Kluyveromyces lactis: one gene and its partner. The protein of the gene in region 2 interacts with the protein of the main gene of each other region in a pairwise test. Links are inferred from orthologs where the notes say so. Each region holds a gene or a part of one and is shown on either strand. Other genes may lie near its edges.

What was found.
Region 1: the proteins of RAD9 (region 2) and CHK1 interact in a two-hybrid assay, tested with the Saccharomyces cerevisiae proteins (3 studies listed by BioGRID). The link is inferred for Kluyveromyces lactis from reciprocal best matches to the Saccharomyces cerevisiae genes RAD9 and CHK1.

The regions. Positions count from the first base shown.
Region 1 is NC_006042.1:118,748-123,992, reverse strand, and holds CHK1 (serine/threonine protein kinase CHK1), read left to right. Parts: upstream 1-2,432; coding exon 2,433-3,992; downstream 3,993-5,245. Other genes in the region: phosphatidic acid-binding protein CHM7, read left to right, coding at 1-716; KLLA0_F01298g (UBX domain-containing protein), read right to left, coding at 824-2,005; DNA-binding protein RIF1, read right to left, coding at 4,048-5,245. UniProt on the Saccharomyces cerevisiae protein: Serine/threonine-protein kinase which is required for checkpoint-mediated cell cycle arrest and activation of DNA repair in response to the presence of DNA damage or unreplicated DNA.
Region 2 is NC_006042.1:1,205,186-1,211,104, reverse strand, and holds RAD9 (chromatin-binding protein RAD9), read left to right. Parts: upstream 1-2,536; coding exon 2,537-5,419; downstream 5,420-5,919. Other genes in the region: septin SPR28, read left to right, coding at 1-517; ADY4 (Ady4p), read right to left, coding at 614-1,708; DNA-binding transcription factor ADR1, read right to left, coding at 5,613-5,919. UniProt on the Saccharomyces cerevisiae protein: Essential for cell cycle arrest at the G2 stage following DNA damage by X-irradiation or inactivation of DNA ligase.

The DNA of each region.
Region 1 (5,245 bases), about 1.1 Mb from region 2:
TTATCTCTCCGTTGTTGAGTGCGAGCCCCCAGGTAGCGTCCAAAGAAGTATCTGAAGAAGATATTTGTGTTGCCAATATTAATGAATATGTATTCACTGCGGAAACGGAGATAAAATCGGCACAAAAGGTGCTAGATCTTACTACCAAACGGCTGACAAGCGCTATTTCATCGGGTCTTTCTCAAGAGATTAAGAGAACACTTCTTAGGTTGAAAAAACGCTCAGAAAAGAACTTGGAACAAGCTTACACGAGTTTAGAATCTCTTAGGAAACTCCAAGATGAAATATCCAATGCTTCACAAAATGTGGTTATGATTAATCTTTTAAAACAAGGCAGTACCGCTTTGAAGGCTATCAATTCACAACTTTTAGATGAAGATTCTATTTCAAACATATTAGATGATTTCCAAGAAAATACAGAGAAGCAAGACCGTATTCATAATTTGTTAGTAGGAGAGTCGGTTTCCGACAATGATGCTCTTGAAGAAGAATTGTCACTGTTAGAGAAGGAGCTATCAACAGAGGATACAAAAGAGAAGGAGAAAAAGAAGATCGAAGAACAAAAATCTGCAGCACCTTTGGAATCTGGCTCAACAGAAGATTTGATAAAGAAACTTGGATCCTTGAGGGTATCGAGCAGGGACTCTCCTCGTGCAGAGAAGACGGAAGTGAAGGAACCGAAAAAGGAAGAGATGACCGAGAAACTGTTGGCCTAATTCTTCCGATAAGAGTGATTGCTCATATTTGGTATTAATATGTATATTTAATTCGTTCATGCATACATATGATATTTAACATAAAGGCGATTCATAAATCAGGTGTGCTATCTGCTGTTGTCGTCTGAGACATGGCCGTAATGTATAGAAGATGGAGAGACAGCTCTTGAGGGTATCGATGCATCAGAGTGTACCAGACGAGGGGAAGATAAGGGAGAAACATATCTAGATGAAGCTTGAGATGTTAATGCTTCAGCAGGTTCAGGAATATTTTGATCAACAACCGTTGATTTACCGTACCACCAGGACGTCACGTTCTGATACATTTTCCCAAGCAAACCTGGTCCTTCTACATCTGCAATCTTACGAGAATATGTATGCTTTTCCAAAGGCTTCAAGATTAATGCAGATCTTGGAGTAAGCTCCAGAGCTTTCAAAGATAGTAATTCTTGTGATTCTGTGAAAGTTTCACGTGGAATACTTCGATGGAACTGGTACGGACCATCCTTATCTGTCCTATTGGCATCCACCCAAGTCCTTACATCGTTTAAAGTTTGAGACGAATCGAAATCGTTTTTCAATGTCTTACCGTCTGTTAATCTTATAAGCAAGGTGCACACTGCTGCGTTTATTATATCTCTGTTTTTAATATTATCGTGAATGGGTACAGCCAATACTTCATTGATGTGTTCCTTAGTATGATTTGGAGATGATGACGATAATCTTCGTTGCTTCATTTCTTCACGGTCCGCTTTCATCAATCTAACAATACGTTCTCTTTCCTGTTGTTCTGTCAACTGGTGCTTCTTGGCCTTTATTTGGTACTCCATCAATTTCGCATTTTGTGACAGACAGCTACCGGACCTGGCGCCGGTATCACCAGCGGCACCAACGGTATTGGATGCATCAACGGCATCCGTTTCAGAGATTCTCCTCTTGCTTTTACCAACTGCCCGGATCAACCTAGTAGCAAATCCGTCCATGTCCAACTGATCTGGATTTATCATCTCCACTATTTGTCCCTTAGCAATACAATAAACGCTAGGAACCTTCACATCCGGGAATATTTGCTCAAAGTAACCCATTTCCCTGCTTCCAGCAGCTAAACGTAACCAAACGCACGAATCCTTCAACTGCTCCCCTACAAGTGGTGTAAACCACGACTCAAACCACGAATTATCTCCGCCCGTAGTATAAACCAATAACGCCTTGTTCTCTCGCAATGATTCTTGTACCGCATTTTCCACAGAGGAAACAAAATGCGTATCCAGTGTATCCATCGTATTCATATTTGCCTAATCTTACACTTACCACTCCTAAAAAGCTCACCACTGCTTCGTTGCTTCTATCAACAGTATCGGATTTGTTTATTGTTCACTGATTAAACTATAAACGTAGTAAAACCCCTTTCAATGTACGTTTTTATAAATGCAAAGAAATGACAGAAACTAATGACTATCGCAGATCTGATCAGAAAAGAAAAACAATAGTTTTATGATGATACTTATGGGGAAAACGGGATTTATATACGAGTCTCCGACGTGTTATCCTAGGTAAATCACTTGGGGTTCAGTTAGGACGGTTGGATGATATTTTGAGCACATCAGTTGCGTAAATATTGAATGTGCGTTTGGCTGATATAGCTGGAGATTTCTGAGATACGAACCGACAAGAACAAAAAAGAAGTAAAAGAAGAACACTTCGATTGATGTATTGATGAGCTTTTCACAGATAGCTCAGCTCCCTCATATTGATGGATTACAACTAGGAAGAACAATTGGGAAGGGCTCCTTTGCCTTTGTGAAGAGAGCTAGTTTAGAAGTTGATCCGTCCACTGTAATTGCTGTCAAATTCATACATCTTCCTTCATGTGAGAAACAAGGTATGAGTCAGGAAGATGTGTTGAGGGAAGTTAAGTTACATTCTAGATGCTCTAATTTTGTTAATGTGCTAAAGGTTATAGATTGCAATCTTTCTGATCCGTTTCTTTGGATAGCCATGGAACTGGCTGAAGGTGGTGATCTTTTCGATAAAATCGAACCTGACATTGGAGTCGACTCGGAAGTCGCCCAATTCTATTATAAACAACTTATAAAAGCTATAAGTTATCTGCATGATACCTGTGGTGTTGCCCATAGGGATATCAAGCCGGAAAATATCCTATTGGATAAAGATGGGAATTTAAAACTTGCAGATTTTGGGCTAGCATCGCTGTTCAAGAGAAAAGATGGATCAAAACGTATTTCTAGAGATCAACGAGGAAGTCTTCCCTACATGGCACCGGAAATAATATACTGTGATGGGTACTATGCTGATATGACAGATATTTGGTCCATTGGTGTTCTATTATTCGTTTTGTTGACTGGAGAAACGCCTTGGGAACTTCCTCACGAGGACGATGAAACGTTTAGAAACTTTATTAAAGGCGAAGGAAAGCTAGATCAGGGATCTTGGCTGAAGATAGATTTCGTTGAATTGAATCTCTTGAGAAAAATATTACAACCAGATCCAGAGAAAAGAGCTTCTTTGGATACTTTACGGAAACATACATGGTATCAAACAAATCCGAAATTTGCAGATGAAAATGGCCTTTGTAAAAATCCTTCTTTGCTTGCAGAAAAATTACTATCAAAGCTTAAAGTTTCTCTATCAGATGCCGATTATTTATCTTCTACGCAGGAAGTGTTTGCCAATCAACATGCAAAGATGTCGTTCACCCAACCTCTCAATCGTGAGCTTGCACATATAGATAGTTTACCGGCTAATTTGCGAAACGGCTACTCTGCCACTCAAAAGGTTACATGCAGCACGAATTTTTCAAGTGAAAGGGAATTAATGACGCAGGAGCCATTTTCAACCAAGAGAATCCAAGAAGATCTCGCTTCCTTGCAGTTTAATATTAATGATATGAAGCTAATGCCTAACTTTTCATCTGACAGGCTAACTAAATTTTTCTCTACTGATGATATTAGTGTAATCCTCTCAGACCTAGAGAATGCTTTGGTTGCATATGGTGTTAGAGTGAGTAGAAATCTTCACGATAATTTCTTGGAACTGAAACGGCAGATCGGAGAGAGTAACCCCTATCCTGTGTCTATACAGCTCAAAACATATGATAGAAATAAGCTCCCACTTTCAGGATCTCTAGTCATCATGCAGTTGGAAGGTGATCTGAAATCCGTTACTTTTGAAAGGAAACGGGGTGACCCGTTAGAATGGAGACGCTTTTTCAAAAGAATAACTGTATTCTGTAGAGATATTGTTTACGTAAATTGATCATTCCGAGAAATATTTTTGTTATGGATAGGAAAAATCTGACTGCAACATGTCCTTAATCTTCTAAGTTTAACATAAAATTATACATTACCTTTCTCAAAAGCTTCTTATCGTTGTTGCTTAAAGACTTCACATCATCAATATCGACATCATTTAAACTTGAAACAATTCGCATAATTTTTTTTGTATGATGCTGTCCTTCACAATTTGCACTTGCAACATCACCAGCTGAGTTCATCAGTTCTAAAGACCGCTTCCCTGATATATAGGTATCGCCTTTCGAAGCAAGATCCTCTTCGAGTTTGATAACATCAGTAAAGAAAGGATTAAAAATTGGTATCTTCAGAGGCAGCCCAGATGGGGAGTTAACGCTTGTCACTGTATCAAGGTTCTTAGATATCTCATCATTATTTGCAACACCTGGCAGACATTCGCTGACTTCAGTGCTGCTATCTTTAATAGAAGGCGTTTGTTTTTCCATTTCCCCTGATGAAACTTGTGACACTGCATTCTGCGTTGTTTCTGCTTCAAGCTTTTCGGATTGTACACTAGCAGCCATTTTTACTGGTTCATTGTCATTAGAATTTTGTATAGGCTCAACGACTTTTTGGCACCCCGTTCGAATTAGCTCATCTGAAGTTTCCGAAAGTGTTTGCAGCGGAACTTCAAGCTCTTCGGAGGAAGTTACCTTAGTTTCGATAACAGATAATGTAGATAAAGGAAAAATATTTGTATTATCTTGCTGTTCATTATGTTGCAGCGTCTCACGATCTGATACCTTTTTATTTTCCTTTGGAGGGATGAATTTGTATTGTCGAGTCGAGTTTCTTTTTGCATTGGCTTTGAACACATTAAGCTTTTTCAACAGAGTCTTATTACCTTGTATCTTGAAATCAGGATGATTTAAAAAGAGCACTATTAGTGAAGTTCCATATTGTTTTTCCTTCGCAGACTTCATGATATTAACTACATATTTCATAATATCAGTGAGAATTTTTGGATTGCTTCCAACGAAGTAGTCCACAATAGCAGGAAAGATTCCTTTCAATCTTTCTTTGTCATCAGCTGATAATTGTTGCTTTATATCAAATATGAAACTGAGTAACTCCTCCGTTATTATATCAAATACCTGATATTTTGTCTGTTTTAATAGCTGCTCCATTAAATCGATAACGTAAGAGGGATTTAGATTCTTAAAACTATCCCTGAGGAAATCGATAAGATCCGAATTGAGTTTGCCACTTTCATTTATC
Region 2 (5,919 bases):
TGTCGAGGCTAATGATTCTAGTCCAATTCCTAATAACACTTCTTTTGACAGTATGCAGCAAAATAGTTATGGTGAAGGAACAGCCCAATTGAATACAGCTTGCTGTAGAATCAGGGATATGTTACCATTTTCGATAATTGGTAGTAATGAAGTTGAAGTCTCACCAAATGGAGAACTGTTTCACGTGAGAAGGTACTCCTGGGGAACTGTAAAAGTGGAAAATAGGGCTCATTGTGATTTCATTTATTTGAAGAACATTCTATTAGGATCTCATCTTCAAGATTTGAAAGATACAACGCACAATAAGCTATATGAAAATTACAGAACGCAAAAGCTTTTAGCTGGCAACAACTATCCGTCAAATAATGATGAAAGAGATATTCTTGCAGAAAGTACTGTTCTAGAGCATCAACTTAATCATAAATCAAAAGAGATCAATGAGGAAATACGTGGCTACAGTTCTAAACGTCTTGATGAATTGAATAGTAATTTTGTAAAAGAAACTATTTCAACTTAATCGATTCGATTTATTAACACTGCTTCCCACTAATATATAGATAGAAGACTTGGTGTTACATATATAACAAAAATTATATAAAAGTGTACTTTTGCTTTATCTTTCATTGAGCTGTCGCCAAAATTCTATGAAGTTATTGGTACCATTTTCGCCCATTTCAACATTATCACGTTCATAATCAGACCCACGAACTTTTCGTTTCAACTTCTCTGCTTCTTTCGAATAAGTATGTCGGTTTGATAAGACGGGATCGAATTCAGAGTCGACTATTACTTCATTGGTAGACAACCGGATTAGGACACTTGGTAAAAGCTTGAGATGTTGATGATTCTGTGCAACTGACTCAATTATATTCACAAAGGTACCAGAAAGCGAAAAATTAGCATAATCAGTGACAAAGTGCTGTTCATTTATGGATTTTGCACACTGGTAGAACTCACCATAGAAGTAGTTGAAAGTAGCTAAGTCAACTTTATTCACAAAAAATAAACCCATCAATATTTTGTGGAAACATACAAGCCTTTTAGGGTCATCGAATGGGAAATGAACTGCAGCTAGCATGTAATGACGGATCATATAAGTGGAAAAAACTGTTTGCGGTATTATCACAGTAGTCTTAACATCATGTGCGTGCTCATAGTCTAATACTTTCCCATCGAGTAGCGCAATAAATTCATAGATTTCTGCACATATCTTGAAATACTCCGCAGTCATATGCTTATTCTGGATGTCCTGTTGTGCAGATATTACACTGCTTGAATTTTCCAATATTGTGTATAATATGCCTTTGAACATGTCCAAACGATTCACCCTAACCGAATTGAAGGACACGTATTTTACCCTTTTCCCTTGATTAAAATCTAAATTCAAACATTTTGCCAGATAAAGTGAAGTTTGTCGAATTATCCATGTTATCCGAGACGAGGAAAGGTCTGATCGCTTCTCACTGTGACGCTTATTTTTAGAGACTGAAATGAACTGTAGAATCCAGCGGAAAGAGAAAAAAGCGGTCCCATATTCTTCATCTAGAAGCTCGAAGAATGCTTGAATAATTCTGAAGTTGATGATAATGTTTGTCTTCCATCTAAGAACAAAATGATCATCTGCATATCTAGCACATAGATTATCCGACATATAATTTGCATCCACTGTAAAATCAATATCGGGATTGTGATCAAGAATACCCTGCATTATAGAAATGATACGCTGTTTGCTAATATTACCATTTTGGAATCGTTCTTTCACAAGATTTAAGGGAATGAACGAGAGTATGATATCCACAAAGTCGTCCCATACTTCCGTTGAATCTTTGATTAGTTGCTTGGCTTCAAGCGTCTTGAGACATTTTTCCAATAACGACTCAAAACAAAGTAGAACATCAACATATGAACCTAATAGTAGATGACATTAGAGTTAGTATTTACCATTCAATCGTTATCATTGTTAGCTTTCATTTAATAATGTCACTTACCATTACATTTCGAATTTTTGTCGGTCATGATATCACAGTTATTGTTGCCGACTAAAGGGTGCTAATCACGAGAAGCAAAATTATGCTTGCTTAAGGCGAGGATCATAAAAGCTACACCTCTTGTGTTGGTATATATCGTTTGTGCCAACAACCAAAAAATGCATTCTAAAAGGTTCACTTCATGTGTGTCTGACACCCATCGATAGAAAATATCATACTTTTCCTTAGAAGAACCGAAAATCAATTCCTAGAATAGCAAACCTGCAACCAGTGCTATACTAGCAACTCATATACTAATACCCTGAAGAGATGCGACCGGCTATGGATACATAATAATAAAACTCACACATCGCACAGTTGACTCTTTAATGTCTTAGTCTTTAACAACTACAAATGTAATATTGACAGAAAATCATAAACCAAAACAAGAAAGTTTACAGTATGTAACGCACAACTAACAAAAGTTATTAAACATTCGATAAAAATACGGAGCCAAAATATCACTTCATTCTGAACCATCAATATCAGTATCTGCTGTTTCATATGGTATGACAGGAGACGAAGAAGACAGTGGTATTACCAAAGAGACTCCCAATTACAGTCCAGATCGAAAACAGCTATCGAACAAGATAGAGTCTACTTCCTCAGATGAAATAGTGTTAAAAGAAAATACAAGCACCCGAACGCTCACGGGAATTAACAAGGCTATAAAGGCTTTGGGTAATACTGCTCTCAATTTAAATCCAACGAATAAATCCCTGTTAGAAGACACACCTGAGGGAAATCGAGATCTCGAGATTAGACGAAGAATTGATATCCAATCAAAGACTGATGTATTGCAACGATTTCAGGAGAAAGACTTGAATATCGAAGTGGAATTACCGTTTGATTTGACTCAAACTAAAGGTATTCTTTTGAATAACAATGACACATATCAACCTGAATTATTAGACACGCCATTAAAGAATAAGATATCGATTCGCTCACTTAGGAATGCTAAAGGTGAAGTGAAGGCAGCTTCAGAACCGATCAGCTTGATTGAAAATATCAACTCGTCCCCAGAGGGGCATCCACAACCATTTATAATGACACTGAAGGATGCAGATAATGGTAATATCTTGGGTGATATTGACACTCAAAATGTAACTCAAACATCTAATGAAATGTTAGTACCTGCAACGAATTCAGCTAATGTAAGTCAAACACAAGAAATCAGGTCTACATTGGCCGATGAAAAGATGACTCAGCTAATTAGAACTCAGTCTAATAACCTCGATGTCTCAGAGAGCTTATTGAAACTAGATGAACAGTCTGCACTTCAAGAGACATCAATAGTGCATACATCTCCAATCAATTTTGGCTCATTTCATCACAGTCTTCTTCCTTCTACCAGAACTATATTGACACAAAAGGAAACAGGTTCTAATTTCAACGAAGAAATCCAGTTGGTTCATTCTCCAGCGGTCGTTAATCTCCGACCCATGCAGCAGGCCTCCAATAAATCACCTTCAACAGTATTTAGTGAAGAAGAAAGAGAAGAAGAAAAAGAAGATCAGGAAGTAGCCAAATGTCACTCGTCTATTGAGATGAACAATGAATCTTCTCAGAAGGAACAAACAGATGAAAACTCGAGTGAAATGAAGTTTAAACTCACATATTATGTCAAACCATCCAGTCAGATATCCGACGAGGATGAACAAATTGGGGGTGTCCGGAATGATGCTACCGATTTGAACCAACGTAAACACAATGAACATAATCCTACGAATGATGTCTCAAGAGAGCTCTCGAGACTGGATACAGATCAGGAATATGAACAAACTCAGGAACTACCTGAAATTTTCGAACGCAATGAGTGCAAGCACAAACCGTCATTTGAGTCACAAGAACAACTTAATGTATCCAAGAAACGGAAAAACAAGCAGCTAATATTAGAAGAAGAATTTGAAGATAGTAGTACACCAAGTAAAATGACACAATTTACAGCTTTCACTGAAGGTGTCTACCTGCCGAAAGAACTTCGTATATCAGATGAAATGCAGTTGACTAAAAAAGATGTTTTATTCAATAATGCGGTCTGGTATTATTTTAATGATTGCAATTTTTATCCTGGTAAGATACTTTCCGAACAGCGTACGAAGCCTGGGTATTGCTCCGTTCTTTTCGAGAAACGTCAAAATGATGTTAGGGTGGAAGACATTTACTATTTAGATATTAGATGTGGAGATAAAGTCCACTGGAAGATGAATGAATATCAAGTCGTAGCTTTAGATTGCCAGATCCCACAAAAAGAAGATGTCATTCGATGCATTAGAGGATATGATACGGTGCATTTAAGAAAGGTACTGAGAAACGGAAGACTCAGCAAGAATGATATTGTAGATACCATTGCATCCATATACGTTACCACCGGGGAGTGGATCAAACGAACCAAAATAAAACTGGAAGATGAAGACAATGATCCTTTGGATGAATTGAGACGTTCTGTTAGAAGTCGATCAGTGAGGGATTCTATTTCTCCTATGAAGAAAACCGCTCAAGATTATAACAAGTCAACTTCAGAGATTTTCAGAGACACTTTCTATGATACTACTATAATGAGTGGATTAGAAGGACAGGGAGGTTCTGTTTTCGAAAAGTGCATCTTTGTATTGAGTGGACTTAATGATATGGATAGAAAAAGGTTATCTTATCTAATCGAGATACAAGGAGGATATGTCTCCAGCGTAGGGTTTGAAAGTCTGTTAAGATATGAAGACAGATCAAGAGAGTTTAGTTGGAACAATCCACGTTTTAACAGTTACCGTTTTGGTTGTCTTATTGCGGGAAACTTTTCAAGAAGTCCGAAGTATTTAGAAGCATTGGCTTTGGGATGGCCTGTACTACATTGGAGGTTTATTGAGTCATGCATAAACAAAGGTTATATCTCGACTCAAACGATACTACAAAATCTTTTGCCGAGCGGAGAAAGTAACAGGTTGATGGCTGACTTCAATCTAGGTATTATCAAATCAAGCAATGTTTTTAGTTTCCTGACAAACTTCAATAGCAGTTTGACTTTAGATGCACAACTAAACAATGCCAGAGTAGTTTTGGAAGATTACTCGATATTGATTTTAGGAGACTCCGATATGAATTTTTTCGTGGACTTCATTTTCCAGGTGTTTAAAGTTGGTCATTGGGAATACACGAAAAACTTGAAGTTGAAACCACAGCAAGAGTTGGACGATGATCTGTTCGACCAACTTGTAGAATTTCGGCATAATTACCACAGTAAGAAGATGATACTTTTCATCAACGAGACGTCTTTGCAGAACTCATCCGACTGGGAAAATAGCATTTCTAAAAGGTTCCTGATGGAGGGTATAAATGATTTTAGGATCAAAAATAAGGAATGGCTGGTTCAGACCGTAATTAATGAAGAGGCGTAATAAAAGTGTATCACAGTAAGAGTACAATAATTGACCCGACTGATAGAAAGTAGAATAAATAAGAGTTACATTATATTCTCGGGATTAACAAATACTGTTCAATTATTTATAAATAGTATACTATAGGAATTTTTTTTGGTCATTTCGTGAGATCTCATACATCAAAAAGCTGTTTAATTAAATATTACGGTAGTCATAGGGAATTCGGATTGAAGTAGTAATCTCCAGGAGGAGTGTTTGAGTTTGGCAAATTCAGCATGTTAACAAAAGAATGAGTGTGATCGTTGACAGGATTATTGTTGCTTCCAAAGAGATGGGTTCCTTCATTGAAAATAATATTCGTAATTTTGCGTTGATTGTCTAATTTTGACTGAAGAGTGTTAATTATGTCAATGAAATTTGTCAATAATGAACCATGTACATGTGATTCATATATCAAGAGGAAAGAGCATTTGGCAACCTGTAACAATTTGTCTGATAGATGATAACGGTCATAAAAT